Linked DNA regions of Medicago truncatula. The protein of the gene in region 2 binds, or shares a complex with, the protein of the main gene of each other region. Links are inferred from orthologs where the notes say so. Each region holds a gene or a part of one and is shown on either strand. Other genes may lie near its edges.

The links.
Region 1: photosynthetic NDH subunit of subcomplex B 1, chloroplastic (region 2) and photosynthetic NDH subunit of lumenal location 2, chloroplastic share a complex: the UniProt entries of both Arabidopsis thaliana proteins name them as parts of the chloroplast NDH complex. The link is inferred for Medicago truncatula from reciprocal best matches to the Arabidopsis thaliana genes PnsB1 and PnsL2.

Annotation. Positions count from the first base shown.
Region 1 is NC_053046.1:18,324,430-18,334,068, forward strand, and holds photosynthetic NDH subunit of lumenal location 2, chloroplastic, read right to left. Parts: upstream 4,271-9,639; 5' UTR 4,172-4,270; coding exon 3,689-4,171; intron 2,155-3,688; coding exon 2,056-2,154; 3' UTR 1,922-2,055; downstream 1-1,921. Other genes in the region: casparian strip membrane protein 1, read left to right, coding at 85-208, 1,279-1,494. UniProt on the Arabidopsis thaliana protein: NDH shuttles electrons from NAD(P)H:plastoquinone, via FMN and iron-sulfur (Fe-S) centers, to quinones in the photosynthetic chain and possibly in a chloroplast respiratory chain.
Region 2 is NC_053045.1:955,142-966,010, forward strand, and holds photosynthetic NDH subunit of subcomplex B 1, chloroplastic, read left to right. Parts: upstream 1-6,107; 5' UTR 6,108-6,200; coding exon 6,201-6,812; intron 6,813-7,068; coding exon 7,069-7,259; intron 7,260-7,444; coding exon 7,445-7,702; intron 7,703-8,009; coding exon 8,010-8,115; intron 8,116-8,504; coding exon 8,505-8,590; intron 8,591-8,698; coding exon 8,699-8,864; 3' UTR 8,865-9,017; downstream 9,018-10,869. Other genes in the region: probable GMP synthase [glutamine-hydrolyzing], read right to left, coding at 677-1,115; phosphatidyl-N-methylethanolamine N-methyltransferase, read right to left, coding at 9,489-9,738, 10,428-10,672. UniProt on the Arabidopsis thaliana protein: NDH shuttles electrons from NAD(P)H:plastoquinone, via FMN and iron-sulfur (Fe-S) centers, to quinones in the photosynthetic chain and possibly in a chloroplast respiratory chain.

The sequences.
Region 1 (9,639 bases), on a different chromosome or scaffold from region 2:
AGCCCAAATTTTAAGAATGAAAAATTAATTAAATTGCAATTTACAATATTAAATATTGGCTAATATTGAACATGAATATTTCAGGTTTTTTGTGCTGGCCAACTCTATTGTTTGTGGGTATCTTGCGCTTTCATTAATCCTATCAATACTCCATATAGTAAGGAGCACTGCAGTAAAAAGTAGGATTCTCCTCATTGTTCTTGACATGGTAAACACACTCATCATGATGTTTACAAAAATTCTCAGTATATGACAATTTTTGTAATTAAAAAGGACATTAAAAAATAAAAACATAAAGTAATATTTTTTTTCAAATTAAACATAATCCTTCTGTTAAACTTATTTTTTGTAATTAAATTAAACATAAAGATCAACTTGGTATATATCATATATTGTACCCAAAAAAAAACTTGGTATTGTATATTTAGTGTTAACATTTCAAAAATAATCTTCTGTTAATGTTTATAGAGTAAATGGTCACTTTAGTCCCTGACTCTGCACCTCACTGTCACATAGGTCCTTGACTCAGGATTAAATAAAAAGAAGTCACTGACTCTGCACTTCTGTCCCTGACCGTAAATAATTATGTTAAGTGATGATGTGGCTCAGGTTTTACAATGACATGACATATCAGGTGTCACATGGAGTAAAGCGAAAGTAGAAAATGACCACTTTAATTCCTAAATCAAAAAACAATATCCCCAACTTAAATCTCAAATCCTAACCAGCCTCGTTAGGTTGCTGAAATTTAGGCACAAGTACAAAAATTACTGAACTTGATATTCACATAGTTGAGACTAAGAAAGAGATTTTTAAATTCTTAATTTTAAGGTAGTATTTGAATTTTTTTATAAATTTAGCTATAATAAGTCATTTCCTAAAATACATTTGATTTTACAAGTTCTCCAAACTTATACGAATATAATTTACATTGAAAATTTTGAATTATCCATACTAGCTCATAAACTTTTCTCATCCAAACACATTACATAGATTTTGTCTCATTTGCCAGTTGCTAGAACTAGCCCTCCTGTGTAACATAGACAACATTATTGTGAAGGTTTCTACAAGTTTGTACAAGCAACTTTTCCTTAATTGGTTATATTAATGTGTTTAAAAATGAATGAGCTGTCATATTCATTAATTGATATGGTAACACATTATTAAATACATGTGTTAAATAACTTTACGCTGACGCGCTGCATACTCATTAAACTCTTCCATATATTGTGATGCTGATCAATGTTTAATAATAACAATTGAGTTTATATTGTGAAGGTAATGATGGGTCTACTAGCAGCAGCAGCCTCAGCAGCAGCATCAATTGTGTACATAGCACATTATGGAAACACACAAGCCAATTGGTTTCCTATTTGCCAACAATACAATAGTTTCTGTGAACGTATTTCTGGTTCTCTTATTGGCTCTTATATTGCCGTTGCTCTCTTTATAATAATAATCCTCCTATCTCAATCAGCTATCTCTCGAAACTGATGATTTGGTCTATGAGTTTATCGCGTGTTCTATTCAGATTATAGAATCTGAAATGTTTCAACGTGTTTTTGGAGGTCTGTATGAGGTGTTTATGCTTTTTGAATTCTATATTCCGAACTGCATAGAACGCACGAGAAACTCATAAGATGGAAAAAAAAAGTCTTATGAAAATCGTGATCGTGTGTATTCCCCTATAGTCTGTGTGCATTTGTACCAAAGTGTGTTTCTCTAACTTGTTTAGGCTTGTGTTGGATACTTTGTTGGTGTACACAATTTAAATTTCTTTTAATAGTACAAGAGGTTTGAAAGTTTGACTTTGTAAGTTCAAATTCAATGGATAAAATTCAGATTTCCCATCAATGTTTGTAAAATAGTCATTAGCGTCAAAATTCTCGATTTAAAACTTTTAATAATGTTCAATTTAAAATACTTGAAGTTGCACATTCTAAACCTTTTATATATGTTCAATTGAAAATCCAAAATTCAAAAAAATTAAATGTCAAGATGTGTTTTATACAATTAGAATTCCAAATACCAATACCCTGCAGCTTCAACTTTGCACTAAGCTAACTGAGCCACAAGTTCATCTATTGATTTCAATGTCTTCTCGTAGTATAGGTATGATTCATATACCTTTGGTGTCCGAACATAACGATCCATCTGAAGATGGAAAAAAAGAACCATAAATCAGATGCTAGACATTAGCAATCATTAGTTCATTACATTTATCATATAATAACAATGTTGATTTTTGCATGACAAAATTAATCTTTAAATGCATATTCCATTTATTAAAATGATGATAGCCATGAGTGTAACCCACTTTTATACCGATAGCATCCATTAAAAACCATTGTTTTATGATATCATTTCATTGTTGTAATTGTATTTTAAAATTAAGTTTAAATCACATTTTGATCGAACCGTAATTTTAGTCCCCAATTTTTTTATGGCAAATGTTAGCTTGTTAGTTGTTATTTTCGTACTTTCTCATTTGCTCAAGATTCAAACCTAGATCTTTCACCCTTACATCTTAACACATTTAATACCTTAGTTCAACCAAGCAAGCTATTCATCCCTCATCCCCTTTTTCTAATAGAACAATTTTGATCCATCGTTTTAAAAATTTGACCAACCCATCATTTCGACCATCCAACTTAATGAGGTATAATAAGTTAGATGGTGATCTGACATGAAAACAAATGCCTATCTCTTGAGAGTCTTAAAAAAATGATGTTAAATTAAGTGGTGATCAAATATATAGAGGAAAAAGAAGATCAATTGAGATGGTACAAGGGATTGAGAGTAAACAATTTAGTGTCATGGTATCATTAAATTTTGGATGGTTAAATTATAAGTTGGTCAAAATTTCAGAAATGGGGACCAAAATCACGGAATTAAAAACGACAGACCAAAATTATGGTTTGGCCAAAATAAAAAGATCAAAATAGCATTTAAACCTAAAATTAACTATGCAACATGGAAAAATAGAGTTCATAGTGCATGATAATGTAAAACTAATTTATATATTTGTTTCTTAGGATAGCTAATTTATACAAACATGTCAAATTCATGTTTCATCACTCAAATTAATCCATGAAATTGACAATTTGAGTCGATTAGTTGAATTTTTTAAAATTAATCATGAAATTGAAAATTTGAATCAGATGAGCTAATTTGGACGAAATGAAATTTTAATTTTCAAAATATTTTGGAATTTCATCAATTTCAAAGGCTAAATTATCTTATTTTATGACTATAATTTTAAAAAGGTTTAATAGTAGTTTTAACCCCTAATTTTTTCAAAGTTGTAATTTTGGCCCTCTAAGAAAAAAAAACTACAAAATCACTCCCTAAGTTTTGCATCTCTGGCAGTTTTGACCCCCAAGACCAATTTTGACTCAGTCTACGTTGACGTGGCACCCTAAGTGAGGTGTCACGTGCTATTTTTTTTTTTTTACCAAAAATTGGCCTTGGGGGACCAGAAACTTCTACGGTTGCAAAACTTAGGGGCAGTTATATAGGCTTTTTCTTAGGGGGCCAAAATCGCAACTCATGAAAGTTAGGTGGCGAAAACTGCTATTAAGCCTTTTAAAGCACACATCAGTATAGCAGAAGTTGTATATCTATTCATAGACTTATTCAATTCATTCATCAAATTAACAAAACACCACTAAAAATTAATCATACATACCTCAGTCAAATTATCAACCAACTCATTAGCAGTTTTAACATACTCCTTGCGACGATTTTCAGGCAAAGTAGTGATAGCATTTCTCAAATCCTGTTCAAGATAATTCTGTTTCAATCTTATATAAAACATAACATACCTCCAAGACAAAGTTTCCAACATTTCCCTAAGATTATGTAACCCTTCAGCTGTTTGTTTTATCCTTAAAACTGCATCTTCAGGGGACAATCCTGGCATAAAAAAATGTTCTTTCATAAAAGAACGTGTGCCCCAATTCTGTGCTAGTGCTAGTGGTGTTGTTGTAACATGTACTACTCCAACCATTGATGTTGCTAGAAATGTTGAAACTAAATTTCTTCTATTTGTTACATTTTGTTTAGAAGATAAAGAGTTGTTAACGTTGTTGTTGATGTTGTTTGAAGTGTTTTTGTGTTTGGTTTTGATGTGAGCATGGAGTAGTGTAGTGGCATGAGTGAAGCTGGACATGGTATTTTTTGTGTGTGGATATTTTTGGTGTATGAAGGATTTAGGTATGGTGTGAATTTTGAATGGTGTATTTGGACTATGGAAATTTTTGGGCAGGTTTTTATTGGCTGACCGTGTTGCCCGGTTTATACACTTATGCCTTGAGATTATGCCACGTGGAAACTTTATTATCCATTTGAGTTGAGAAAACTCCAAGTCAATCATTGTTGGAAGATTTAAGCATTTTCTTTTTGGTGAAAAAAATGTAAATTAAATATTGGATCAATTAAGTTTTTAGTCTTATAAACATCTGCAGTTTTTTTAATCTCTGTAAAAATAAATTATATTTTTTGGTCTTTACAAAGTTTTCCATTAATGTTTTTAGTTCCTGTTAAATTAAAATTTGTTTAATTATGTTTAAAATTTTAAATTTTTTAATAATTTTTTACATACTTGTTTAAAACATCATAAAACGTTCCGCTGCAATAAGTTAGGTCAAAATTTTATTTTTAGGTCTAAATTTTTGTTAGTTTTATCTTTAATTTTTGGCATTTTAAAAAATTATATTTAATTCATTACATGTTAAAAAATTCTAATTTTTTATAAAATATATTATTATAATGTTCTTAACATGTCTGTTAAAAATCATTTAAAAATAAAAAAGTTTAAGTATAATTAAACAAATTTTAATTTAACAGGGACCAACACATACTTTTAGTCCTTGTAAAATTAAAATTTGCTTAATTATGCTTAAACTTTTAAATTTTTAACATATTTTTTACATACTTATTTAGAACATTATACAAAGTTCCTCCGCAAAAAAGTAACTCAAAATTTTATTATTTGGTCCAAATTTTCATTAATATAATCTTGAAAATTTGGCTTTTAGAAAAATTCATATTTAATTCATACATGTTAAAAACCTAATCGATTTTATGAGTGTCTTACGATGTTATGAACATGTCTATAAAAAATCTTTCAAAAATTTAGAAGTTTAAGCATAATTAAACAAATTTTAATTTAACAAGGATTAAAAACACTAACGGAAAATTTTGTATGGACTGAAAAATGTGATTTGTTTTTATAGGGACTAAAAACAAAACTGCAGATATTCATAGGGACCAAAAACTTAATTAACTCTTATATATGTATGGTAGTGGCTTTGATCCATTTGCAGGTTCATAGAATTTTCACTATTAGTCCTCGTGAGCATAGTTCAGTTTGGCAGAAACATGCATTGTTATATGCAGAGGTTGTATAAGTGAGAAAAATGTGAAATGTGATACGGGAAGAGAGAGAGATTTCACACATGTGAGTTCTTTGTAGTGAAGCGTATGTGTAAACGTGTTTTCCCCTCAGGTTTTTGACCACCGATGGAAAACACCCAATTATAATTAAAGATAAACTTCATCAATATTACAAAACTGCCATCGTGTTTCATTTTTCCCTTCAGGTATATAGTTCCACCGATGTAAACACTCTTCAATAATGATCTCTCCCCTCAGCTAATTTCTCAGCCGATGTGAAAATGCCACCGTGTTGCATTTCACATCAGGTATTTGACCACTGATGTAGATATCCTGTTGTTTTCTAGTAGCGGAACCCCGGACGCCCTACTTATTCACTTTGAAAAATGTGAATTCTAGCCATTAATCTACTTAAAAAAAAAAAAAAAAAAATCACTATCATTAACCATCACAATACATGAATATCGTTTTTAAATACCTTAGCCTCTAAATGCAATTTTCATTTTTATAAAGAAGAAATTTGGTAACTTAGTTGATATGTCAATTATATGTAGAGCTGTCAAAAATGGGTCGGGCTCATGGGCCGACCCATTGGCCCATATTTTTGGGTCGGGTCGGGCCTAAAAAACTAACAAAAAATGCACTCAGGCTTTTTCAGCCCAAGCCCATTTGGGCCGTACAAAAGTTGGGCCAGGCCGGGCTGGCACATCGGGCTTTGGGCCGGCCCATTAGCCCATATTTCATTTTATTTTTGTTAAAAAACAACATATTTTTTAAAAAAATTATCAACTAATTTAAAATTTATTAACAAAAAAAATATTTAAATAAATAAACTTAATAAATATGGATGAATTTAGCTTACAGTTTTAAAATTTTAAAGTTTATAAATTATTAATTTGATTTAATTGAAAGAATAATCTAGAGTTTAATTATTATTCAATGTTAATGTAAAAATTATTTATATTTTTATGTCCATCCAATCATATTTTAGCAAAAAAATAATGGTGAGTAACTAATACATAAGAAAATACATAAAAAAAAATGAATAAATTTTAAAAATAAAACATAAACGGGCCAGGCCGGGCCGGACTCTAGAATTCACTGCCCAATCATAAACGGGTCGGGCCGGGCTGACCCATTTATATAGTCGGACCTCTCGGGCCCGAGTCGGGCTGGGTCGGGCCGGCCCATTTGACAACTCTAATTATATGTATCTAAAATATACATTAAATATGTATATACTATTTAATTTTGACTTTTACGTTTCAAAACACTTGATGTTAATTATGAAATTTGGAAAAGAAGCATTATACATGTCTTTTAATTTGATTTTTTTTTTTTTATATTTAAGACATTTTTTTTGCTAAGCAAGTGTTTATGTTTAGGGACATAAGAAATATCTATTTATTGTATTGATTAGTTAGTCAATTCATGTTTCCTCTCTCAAATTCTTCTTTTTTTTTTTAAAAAAAAAATTCAAAAATGGAATTTTATTATCAACCAACTTTACTTTCTCTATACAAGGAATGTTAGAGAGAAACAAAGAGAAGAATGAAATTACATCATAAAACGGTTACAAACACCAAAAGCAAGGGTAAGGAAATTACAACCATAATAAAGGGTTGATATACCACATGTGGTAACTAAAAGTAAAGTTGATGTGAATAGTATGATCTTTTTGTCAAGTTGATGTACCTTTAGCCATCCATAAGAATATGCCTTAATTTTGTTAAGCAGATGGCAAATAGTATCGTCTTTATTCTTTAATATTTTTTTTATTTCGTTCTTTCCAAATAATTCAAATAGAGAAATATCAAAATAAGATTACATTTGGATTTCGATAATCCACCCAAAACACTAAATTGTGTCAGGTGTTTCGAGATATGGTGTGGAACTACTATGACGAGGCCTAACCAATCATAAGTAGTGATCCAAACATGACGGAATTAGTCATAACGAAGAAAAATATGAGTCGCGTCGTCCATATTACCATAATTTCCCACACAAGATACGAGCAGTAGTTTTGTTGGGAGGCGGTTGCGAAGAAGACGCAACACAAAGAAGTTAACTTTCAAAGGAACATCTCGATGCCAAAATACATGATTATCATTTGCAATGTGTTACGATTTGCTGCTATTAAAAAACTATAATCATTATTGATTGTATTTTATTTTATGTACACTCCAAAGTCTCTCCCCATCCTAGATGCCTCATCTCAAACACAGTTGTCATTTTATATCAAAATCCTCAAAAAGGCGGTTGAACCTATCTTTCAAAACCCATCCTCTCAACTAAGGATCCCACCAAAACAAAATTGAAGTTCGGTCACCTGCCTCACGCACAGAATTATCACCTATCAAACTTCCCACTCCTGCTCCACCACCCTGACTAATATTAATTAAATTACTCCACCAAACTGATCCCTCTTCCTCATCCAGAGGAAACATACAACCAATCTCTCCAAATTTTGCTAAAAGAACTCTATGTAACGCCATAGTCGTTATTTTATTTAATTTGGAATTATTTAGAGTCTTTTATGTGATTTTAAATAATATTTGTGATTTTAGGTGGTGTGTATTATTTTATTATATGATTTATTTTAATATAATTAGAATAATATGAGAAATAGAGTTATTTTGGAGTGTGGGGAGTTAATTAAGAATTAATAGAATTAAGGGGAGTTTAATGAAATAAAGGGGAGTTAAGTTTTGGGAGTTAAGAAAAAGAGAAGTCAGAAAACGTTTTATACGTAAAACAAGTTTTGGGAGAGAAGAACCAAGAACAAGTAGAGCCAAGATCATCCGTGTGTTGTGCGATTTTCTGAATTAAGGTAAGGGTGAGACTATCTCTCAATAATCATAATATATAATTTCTGAAAATTGATCTAATTGAATTGTTCTTGAAAATAAAAATTGGGAATTAGGGTTGATGCTGATTTTGAAAGGAATGGTGTAAGAATCATGTTTAATGTGTTTAGTTTTCATGTTCAGAATGATTTCTTAATCTATAATGTTGCTGTGATCAGAATTTGAGGGAGATTAGAATTGGTTGGGAAAATTGGAGAGGTTTTGTATGATTGCTAGAATGATCTGAATTGTTGTTGTTAATGCCTGTTTTGTGTTCCTTTAGATGCCTAGTTGTACAATGAACCTGTAACCATCTGTTGGAAACGTTGGGTGATCAGGGGATTAAAATTGGGTTTTGGAGTGAGAAAAGGTTTGAAACCCGTAGGTTTTTGCACTACCGAGATGAATGGTCGCTTAAGCGAACGACCCGTCGCTTAAGCGAGCATTCAAGCAAGCTGCCCAGAATCCTGTTTTGTCAGTTCACTTAAGCGAACTGTGAGCGAGCCTGTAAGCGAAAAAATTATTCCATTCTGCCAGAAGTTCGCTTAAGCGAGTCGCAAGCGAACCGTTAGCGAGCGGAACCCCAACTTTCTGTAAGCCGGTCGCTTAAGCAAACTAGCCGTCGCTTAAGCGAAAATGACCTTAGTCAGCCACTTTTTGAACTTTGCCTCGTGCACTAGGGGATTCTTTTGAGCATTTTTAAATGTTCCTTTCAACTTGTAAGACCATTATATATACCCTGAATCCTACTGAACACATTGTTAATCGAATTGGTGGAATTTAATGAATTTTGAATTTGAGTGAGTATGAAACCAAGTTAAAATATACTATGTTGAATGAACTTGATGTATTAGTATGATTGTTATTAATTATACTTTTTTTTTTATCTTGGATTGGTTTGTGATGATTTTGCTGTTGACGGTGATGTATGCTTTCATTTAATTAAAACCATACATGTTGTTGAATTATGAAGTCGTAAGCCATATATACATATATGCATTGTCGAGTTGTATGTAGATATACACAAGTGGAGTCAGTTGCATAAGCATAAAAGCGGAAGGGCTTTGGCCCTAGAACGCCTTGTCGTTCAAAGCGGTGAAACTCTTGTTGTTCAAAGCAGTGAGGACTTATGTCCTGAATGAATGCTTTAACCATTCAATAGCGGTGAGGACCTATGTCCTGAACGAATGCTTTAACCATTCAATTAGCGGTGAGAGCTTCGGCCCTGAATATGGTACCACGTGCATAGTTGCATTTGTCGAGGAGTCTTAGAGGTGTTGTCATGAAATTGCATGAGTCGTTGTTGTTGGTTGAATTTTTGTATTATTGATGATGTTGTTGATTATGAAATACATATGCATATTGAATAATCATTGATATTTTAGGGTGTTAGACT
Region 2 (10,869 bases):
CTTGCAAGACTTTCCACAAATTTCTCATTTTCTACAAAAAAAAAGATAACCAAGCCTTATCCATCTAAGTGGGGTCGGCTACATGGAATAAACGCAACCATAATGTTCTATCATATATCATAACCCTATCCAACTCATTAATCTCTAGAACTTTCTTAATAGTTTCTCTAATAGTTTTTCTAGTCTTCCTCTGCCTCTAGTGTTTTGCCTACTAGTACTCTCCATCTGATCTACCTTCCTTACTACGCAATCTAGAGGTCTCCTCTCTACTTGCCCAAACCACCTAAGATGAGTTTCTACCATCTTTTCATGATAGGTGATACCCCAACCCTCTCTCTAATATTATCATTTCTAATTCTATCATACCTAGTCATACCACACAGCCAACGCAACAACCTCATCCCCACTACACTTATTTTACTCTCATGTTAGTTCTTTACTGCCTAACACCCCGTCCCATACAACATTGCCGGTCTTACAACCGTATGATAAATTTTTCCCTTCAGATTGAGTGGGACTTTTGTATCATATAAAACAAATATCTCATTGTCTACATTGAAGTTAATTACAAGTTACAATTCAACCTTACAATTACATTAAAAGTTCAAACAAATAATACCAATATCACAAATCACAATATTCTAAGTTAATCATGATTACAAAGGAATGAAGATACCTGTATTTGGTGTAACCCAAGCACACCTTTTCTTGCCTTCCAAGCCATCAATCGATTCCACCTCAACAGGAGCAGGAACAGCAACAACTGCATCAATACTCACCTTCTCAACCTTTGCACCAACCTGCTTCTTCCCCACACGCCTCGCCACTTTCCCACTCGACGAGGCGCCACTACTACAAGCCGAAGAATCTGTCGATGAAGCATCCGACGAACACGAAGCATTCATCGACATATTCTTCATCCCCACAACCCCACAATGATCCCGCCGCTTCAAAACCGCCGGTGTAACCACCACACACTGCGGCGAAGTTTTCTTCTTCTCCGTTTCGGGCGCCGGCACCGGTTTCTTCACATTCTTCACAGGACGAGCTGCCTTGGAATCAGAATCTGCTCCAACAGTGACATTCATGGATCGAACTCTGGGTGGACCCGACATTGCAAAACCCTAGATTCTAGAATATTCTTCACGAAATCTCTGTTTAGAAGATCAATGCCGAATACCCAATTGAAAATTTCGAGTTTTCAGAGATGGAATTGAAGTAAAAGATGATAAAAAAAAAAAGATTTTGAATTGAAAATTTGAATTTCAAGTTTGAGCACAAAACCCTAGAAAGAAGAATAAAGGGTTTCTTTTTTGGGAAGCATGAAGATGAAAAAAATGAGGTAAGTTTGGTTGTTTGTGTGAAAAAAGGTAGAAGCTTTGCTTTGTGTTGGTGGAGTGTGGTGAGAAAGTTGCAGACTTGCAGGGAAAGAGTGAGAAAGTGAAAGGTAAAATATTTCTAAGGGTGTGTTTGTTTCAAGTTTACCAAATTTATTCTTAAGAATAACATTTCTTGGAATATAAAGATAGGAATTTTATTCCAAAGAATTTAGGAAAAATATGTTTGGTTAGCTTTATAATATTCCTAGGAACTATAAAAATAGGGATTATAATAGGTAAACTATTTATGAATTTATTCTCATTTCCATGGGAACTTTATTCCCACCCTTTTTCTTGTGAAATTTTTTCTATTCCCAGGAACATTTTATGCCCGGGAATAAAATTTAGTAAACTTGTAACAAACATAGGGATATATATTCCAATCATTTTATTCTCGGGAATCAACAATTATAACTTGAAACAAACACACCCTAAAGGTTTAATACATGTTATGTTTTGATCCCTTAACTTATTTTTGGATTTTATTTTGGTCCCTTAACTATAAAGTATTTTAATTTGATCCCTTATGTCTTCTGTTGTTACCTCTTTTGATCATCTCCGTTAGTTTGTTTTCAAAAATAGTTAACCCTTGTCCACATGTCATTTAAGATTGGTGATCAACAACTAGATTTGAAAAGTACACAAGTATACAATAGGCTCACAACATATAATCATTTCTATTCTTATTGATTTTCCTAAAAATATAAATTTAAAATCACCATCAATCTTCATCTATTTTTGAAATAATTTGTATCCAGATTTTTAAAAATTAAAATATTTTTCAGAATTTTGTAGAAAAAAAAAATTAAAAATCTGACCTTTTTTTTAAATTTCGTAAAAAAATTATTTTTTTTCATATTTTATAAAAATCTGAATTTTTTATATATTTTTCAAAATTAATATTTTTTCCAGAATTTTGTAGAAAAAATTAAAAAAAAACATTTTTTTTCGGACAAAAAAAATCTGACCTTTTTTTGAAATTTCGTAAAAAATTAATTTTTTTTCAAATTTTAAATTTTGGAATATTTTTCTTTTCTAATTTTAAAATATGAATTTTTTATATATTTTAAAAATTAAAATATTTTCCAGAATTTTGTAGAAAAAAAAATCTGACCATTTTTAAAAATTTCGTAAAAAATAAATTTTTTCAAATTTTTTAATTTTGAAAATGATTTTATAAAAAATATGGAATATTTTTTTCTTCGTATTTTATAAAAAAATATGAATTTTTTTATATATTTTGGCTTCAAAAAAATCAGGTGTTAATCATTCACCGTAGGCTACAATACACCTACATGATCCAACGATTTCTATTTGAAAAATAGATCAAATAATTAAAATGTAACAGATAGGACCAAAAGACATAAGGGACTAAATTGAGACACTTTATAGTTAGGGGACCAAAATGAAATCCGAAAATAAATTAAGGGACCAAAGCATGTATTAAGCCGAAAGTAAAATATCTCTTTTTAGTTTAAGGAAGAGACTAATAAATGTGTTAAAATTTAATAAAGGAAATAATCATAAATTTTTCTTAGTTTAATACCACGATAAATCTTTTCAAGGAAAGTTTATCATATATTTTATTATACTTAACTTAATGATTAATTTATGCAACTATGCATAGAGGATATTCGTTCACATACACCCAAAAAAGGGAAGGAATAACAAAATGGATCATGTCTGAGACTATATTTTTTACAATCTTGATTATTATGAGACGGATTCTATTAACTTGGAGTTCCATCGGAAAGACAATAAGTAAAATATGCCCATAAACTGTTTCATCTCATAATCAAATTAAGATTCTTTCAAATAATTTGTCATTTGATAAAATTCAATAACCATTCGTCCTTAATCACTTGATTTCCTTCACTATTATTTATAGGTTTAATAAGCCTTTACCCCTTGTAATATAGGTCACTTTTGGTTTTGTCTCATGTAAAAAAAAATATAGATTCGATCATTGTAAAAAAAAATTGTTTTGGAAAACCCCACTAGGCCAGCTGACTGTACATTTTTGCTGATGTGACATGTTCCGTCATTTTTTCGGATGACGTGGCATACTAACTGTATAATTTTTTTTATTTTTTATGGGGTACACGTGACATTAATGATTTTTTTTTAAATAAAAAAATTCTTAATTTTTTTTAAAAAATGAAATAAATTCTGGAAAAATGAAAAAATTTAAAAAAAATGATTAAAAAAATTTAAAAATGATAATAATTCTGGAAAAATTTAAAAAATCTGGTCAAATCTGGAAAAAATTAATATATACCGAAATTTTCAAAAAAATTATAAAAAAAGTCTGAATTAAATTAAAATTATAAAAAAATTGAAAATATATTATTATATAATTATTTTGATTTTGAAAATTAATTTCTAGAATTTTATTTTATTCGAAAATATAATCTAGACGAATAACATGATACAATGGATATTGATTGACACCGGTATATAAGTCATGTTATACCGTTAATAACAAGCCCTTAATTCTATTCTTCATGATCTAATGTTATGTTTTTTTAATTATGAAAATACTTTTAAATATTTAGATTTTCTGTATAAAATAAAAATAAAAAAAACCAAACTTTTAATTTTGAAAGAAAAATATGAACTTTCATTTTTAATTCTTTTCTTATTATATTCATAAATTTTGAAATAGTTTAAGTTCCTAAATTTTTCATTTTTTTATAAAATAAAACTTCTTACTATCGAAAAAAAAAAAAAATTTCATTTTCCAAAATTTTTTAATTTTTTCGCTATTGAAAATAATATGGAAATATGAATTTTTTGAAATATATTAATTTTTTTAATTTTTCCAGATTTTATTTTATTAAATTTTCTAGATTTTTGTTTTTATTTTACCAGATTTTTTTAATTTTTCCAGATTTTTTTTAACTAAATTTTCTTGATTTTTCATTTTACCAATTTTTTATTATATTAATATTTCCATAATTATTTTGTTTTTTATTATTATTTTTATTTTTCCAAAATTTATTTTATTTTTTATAATATTTTTTCGTTTTTTAATTTTTAAAAAAAAATATAAATGGCATGTGTGCCCATAAAAAAATAATTATACTGTCAGTGTGCCACGTCATTCGAAAAAGGTGACATAATATGCCATATCAGCAATAGTGCACAGTCAGCTGCTCTAAGGAGGTATTCTAAACAAAAAAAAATTACAAGGACCGAATCCAAATTTTTTCTTTTACAGGAGACAAAATCAAAAGTGATCTATATTACAGGGAGGGATAAAGGTCTATTAATCCTTATTTATATATCCTCTCTTCTAATTTTCTATCTCTATCTTTTTTATAATGAAAAACGAGAGTTAGGTGAGACATGCAGAGAAGTAGTGAAAGAGATGATTCAAATTTAAAGAAATAACTTGCTTCCATTTTGTGTGTTGTATAACGAGTATAAGTTAAAAATCTCGTATAATCTAATATGGATTCCTATTTTTCCCAAAATTTGTTTATATATTTTATAATTATAATTATTTGAGACTAATTATTTTTGGTGAACCAAACATCATTTTAAAATATTTTACTTTGTTTGTATGTTATGTTATTATTGATAATTTTAAACTCAAGGTGTGGTAGTTGGATGATAATTTGGCAGTTACAAGTACCATTTATAGTAAAGAATTTCATGTGGCGTGCAGCATGCAAATGCATCTCCACCCAAACTAGACGTGAAAGGGATTTTTTTTTTTTAATTTTTAATAAATATGAGAAAGTGATATGTGTTGAAACTCATTTTCCTTTTTTTTTTTGTTACAACTTATTGTCTAAAGTAACAATAGTCTCATCCATAAGTTCTAACTCAACTGACAAAATGTCGAAATCGTTAGACATGATATCATAATCGGGGTTCGAACCACGGTACCTCCACTTATGTGTGTGAGTTTATAATAACTTTGTCATTTCGTCTATCTTAAAAAACAAAAAACAATAGTTTCAAAACCTCAAATTTATATTTGTTTTATTTATTCGCTTTTTATTTATTGTCTATTTACGAGAGATTATAGACATAAATAATCTTTTATTTGTGTTTATTTTTTAATTATGACGTCCACTTGAATTTTTGAAATATAATATACATATGTCGTTTAATGAAATTCATAACACAAACTAGGAATTAATACTTGTGTGCATGATGAATTTGGCATATTTATAAGAGCCAAGATATTGTGGATGCAATCGGCTGTAAAGGTAGTTGTTGCATAGTGTTTAGTTTATTGAAAGCAATGAAGTGGACTTAAAATTAGGAAAGAGGATTCAACAAGTTATATTTTCTATGCATGTCAAAGTGGTGGTTTGGGGGATTGTTTCAATTTCGTAGTACATGATATCATTGAGTTAGGTTCAATGTGACATTGAGCAGTGATATTTGAACAACCATTTTATATAATTTTTTGTGATAATTTTTTTTTCTTTTCTTTTCATTGGTTAAAAATAATGGAGAGAGAAAAAGGAAGAGAATGAATAAGAGGATAATATGGATATGAGAGGAAAAATTGTCACAAAATAGTTGTACAAATATCATTTCTCTTCTATTATTATATCGTACCAAGGACTATTTTACCTTTTATTTGTAACAACTCTCATAAGATTCTTTTTCACGAACTCATGTAAAGTTTTCTATATGAAAGGTTGATAATTGGTAACAGGAAGGAAGCTGCACATAATACAAAAAAGATTAAATGGGACCCACTTATCCAACACATTTCCACACATTCTAGTTCTAGTCTCTAACATGTCTAACTTTGTAGCAAGAACAACGCAAAAAAAGAACCAAATTTGAAAAATCTCAATGGCTGCAACTGCAACATATTATTTACATTCTAAAATTTCAAAACCATTTTCCCATTTCACTACAAACACATTTTCCATTCCTTCAACTTATCCAACCAATGTTTCATTGTTAACATCATTAGACCATCCATCACATTGTTACAATTCAACTAGAAGACTAAATCTTCGCGTAAATGCCAAAAAGAACAATCCATGGCTAGACCCTTTTGACGATGGAGAAGATCCAAATATCGAATATGGTTCGTTGTTTTCAGACGGTAAACAAGACGAGGATCCAAGGCCGCCCGATAATCCAAAAAATCCTTATGGATTCTTGAAGTTTCCAGCTGGTTATATGGTTGAGATAGCTCCTTTAGGATTGAAAGTTAGAGGTGATGTTAGAAGGTGTTGTTGTGTGGTATCTGGTGGTGTTTATGAGAATCTGTTGTTTTTTCCAATGATTCAGTTGATTAAGGATAGGTACCCTGGTGTTCAGGTTGATGTTGTGGGTTCTGAGAGAGGGAAACAGTGTTATGAGTTGAATAAGAATGTTAGATGGGCTAATGTTTTTGATCCGGACGATGAGTTTCCTGAGCCTGCTGAGTATACCGATTTTGTCGGTGTTCTAAAGGTTGGTTGGCAAGCATATTTTTTAAATAGTTTGTGTAAAGTTTCGATATTTTTCTTTAGAAATATGAGACTGAAAATCGATCATACCTTGTAAAGCACCGATACGGACGCGTGTCCGACATCAGGACACACCTAATCCGAAGACTGTCCGTGCTTCATAGCTCAAAACTCTTAACAGATTTTTCCTGCTACTTTCTAAGGTACATATATTAGAAATTTTATATAGGAACTGATTTATTGTTATGTTATGCTTACAGAGTAGGTACTATGACATGGTCTTGAGCACAAAATTGGCCGGAGTTGGCCATGCAGCATATTTATTCATGACAACTGCGCGAGATAGAGTTAGTTATGTTTATCCGAATGTGAATGGTGCAGGAGCAGGATTGTTTCTATCTGAAACATTCACACCAGATAGTACAAATCTCTCAGAGGGAGGATATCATATGTGAGTTTGTGCATGTTTGAAATCACGGTGTAAACAGTTTTTACACTGCCAATCAGTCTTAAGTGTTAGATCATGTATTGACAGTGTAAAACTTTTTACCTGATAGTATTTAGATTTACATTTGGTAGATTTTCACGAAAATTTTCTTTAACTGAGGACCATTTCCGATGAGTTTGACGAACTAGGTATCATCAAATGGAAGACTGGCTAGGAAGACCGTTTCGAAGCGTTCCACGGCAGGTTGTGCCACCACTTAAAATATCACTTTCAAGGAAGTTGAAGGAAGTTGTGGAGGAGAAATACACAAAAGCAGGTGTAAAGAAAGGAAGATATATTGTGATTCATGGGATACAATCAGACTCAAAAGCCACAATGCAGTCTAGGGGTGATCCTGATAGCTTGCTACCCCTTGAAGTGTGGGCTGAAATTGCTGATGCTGTAAGGTATGAAATGTTGCCCTCTAATATAGAATCTCTCTTAGCTTATTTTTATAAGTTCTCCATAATAGCTTATGAAAACAGCTTAGAACTTATTTTCAGCTTATTTTTATACATAAACTCTTGTATGATAAACATTTATGCTATAAACGTTTCATTAAGTTGTTTATCAAAATAGAGTTCAAGTAAAAAAGGTATCCTACATAACTGTATTCGTCAAATAAGTGTTTCTCAAGCAATTTCTCCTTATATTCTGTCATTTTCTGGTATGTATGTTTTGGACTATATTTTAACAATTAACATATGAATACAGGGAATTTACACCACTTTTTGTCATTCCACATGAGAAAGAAAGGGAAAATGTTGAGGAAATAGTTGGAGAAGATTCCTCTATAATCTTCATCACCACCCCTGGACAGGTACTCAAGTATCTCATAGTTATTTTGCATGCAACAAACTTAGAGAGAAAAAAATAAAATAGTAAAAAAATGTCAAAACATTGAACTGTGATGTGATGAAAATGAATGAATAGATCAATAAAAAATATGCTGTTTTAATATTGAAATAACAAAAATAAGGGGAAAGACAACAATATGGGACATAGGAATAGGCTTTTGAACATAACTAGTGTCCGTGTCTGTGTCTCGTTGATTTTTTTTCTTTGATCGACCAAAAATGGAAAACCACGGTGGCATAGTCTTCATGCAATCCGAATTCTGTGTGGATCTAATTTATTGTAGTTAAAATGTGAGTCTTCAAATCTTCATTTTAACAGTTTCAATTCCCTAACTGTGGTTGTATGGTTTAGTTGGCTGCTCTTATTAACGACTCGGCTGGAGTTATAGCTACCAATACAGCTGCAATTCAGCTCGCAAATGCGCGCGAAAAACCTAGGTAATTTTACCATTCACATGAATTATAATGTTTCCCTAAACAGCACATTAATTAAGCTTTGCAAGACAATCACATTGATCCCATAAAACTGTTGCTCAATTTATGCAGTGTTGCACTATTTTCCTCTAAAGAGAAGGGAAACAAGTTTGTTCCGCGGGCAGAAGAGAAGAAGTGCATTGTGATATCATCCAAGACGGGGAAGTTGATCAATATAGATGTTGAGGCTGTAACAAATGCAATTCAAACTTTCAATGTTTCTCTAGCTTTTGCATAGCCTAAGAGAGGGAAAACAGCGAGGGTTCTGAACTTCAAGTTAAGTCGTTGTGCTAACTATGGTTAAAACTTATGGTAAAGAAGGAATGTATATCAACTAATTCATGGCTTCCTTTGGGGCGATAAAAAAACAGGTACATGAATTAAAACGAAAGTCAAAACACGTAAAAATAAAAGTCGAGAAAGCTTTGCGATGCACAAGCATGAATCTTGTGACAGAAAAAGAAAAGTGGATCCTTTTCAGCAAAACAACAAACAAAAAATGTGAATCCTTATCACATGCACAAGATTCCATTTATTAAAGCTATCACCTAAAGCTGTTTACACTTTGACAAGCTTGTGACATACATATGTCGAGAGCGGTCTCGAGATCTCTTGGTCAATTGGACTAATCCAACGGCCGGCCTCTGAATGGAAAGACTGCAAAGAATCCAAAATCTGTGTCGAGATACAGAAATCAAATAAGTTTACACTTTGCAGTTCATTTGAAATAGTTTTGTGGAATCGGAACATATAAATAGAGATGACATTCCAATGCACTGGCAAGAAACAGAAACATACAAAGAGTTCGGCACCTTAGATGCTACTGATTACTCCTACTTATATCTAATCTACTGAAACAAAATCAGTTCAGTGGCTTTGCACGAGTCGATGGATCTTCCTTTGATTCGACACGAATCATAAACACGTATCCTAAAACCCACAGGAGAATGTACTGAAAAGGAACCCATGGAAGGCATGCAATAAGACTCATGATGCTGCCAATATACTGAGGATCACTGATGACCCCGAAAGGGAATTCGGTTACCCATGGAATAGTTTTTCCGAAGCGTACACCGTAGTATGTGCCGGCTTCACCAAGAAGCTGATAAACCCTGTCATTTGACAATATCATAATTATAATTAGGCAAATTTCAAAGCAATACAATTATAAAATAAGGCACAGTGAAAATATTTGGGCACATCAATTTTTTTTTAAGATACACTGTCATAAAAAAAATGGTATTCTTCTCAGTAAATTCGAGGCTAAAAATCAATTGTAGAGACAAAACTCTAAATTATAGCTTCATATTAGAATCAATTCTATTGTTAAAAACAGTTAATATCTATTCCGGATGCAAAATCGATTCTACTTGTCATTGTCAAAATCAATATCAATTTTGCTTTCTCCAAATGTGGAATCAAACATATACTTAATCTTGTTTTCTTATACTAATATCCAGTAATAATGATCATAAAACTGACCTCACATTATTCAACAAATGACACATTTTTCAACACCCTATATATTATATAAAATGAAAGGAACAAACTTTATAAAACCACATTGTTAGATCCACAAATTCCTATGAAGCTCAGAGACTCCTCAGATTAGGTGTGTCCCGGTGTCGGACACGCGTCTGTGTTCGACACTGACACGACACCTATAATTACACTAAATTGCGTCATTATCTCAAATTATCGGTGTCGGCGTGTCGGTGTTTGTGTCGTGTCCGGCGTCTGTGTGCGTGCTTCATAGACAAATTCAAACCATACCAAGAAACCACAACAAAAAGGAAACTACCTGAAGTTAAGGAACTGTCCAAAGGCAAAGAGTGGCCAAAAGTAAAAAGGAGGAGGCCAATGAAAAGAAGAGACAGAAAAGAGTGAAATGAACTGAATTATCTTCAAGAAATGACCAGCATAAGCCATCATTTTGGTAGGGTCTCTTCCTTTACCACATAAGTCTACCCATGATTGAGGCCAATTCCATACATAATAGTAGAAAGGAAATTGTGATAACACTATAATAGCCAAAACAATTCCCATTACACTATGCTAGAAAAAATGTATCTTGTTTTTTGTTGATTGTGTTTCAATTATGGAATTTGCTTTTGATTATGATCCTTCCTAGAAAAGAGGGTCACAGATCTTTAGTTCACTCTTAAGCCACTGATTTATTGACAAAACCATATAACATTAAATATGACATTTTTGTATAAAAAAACATTAAAAATGATATTTTG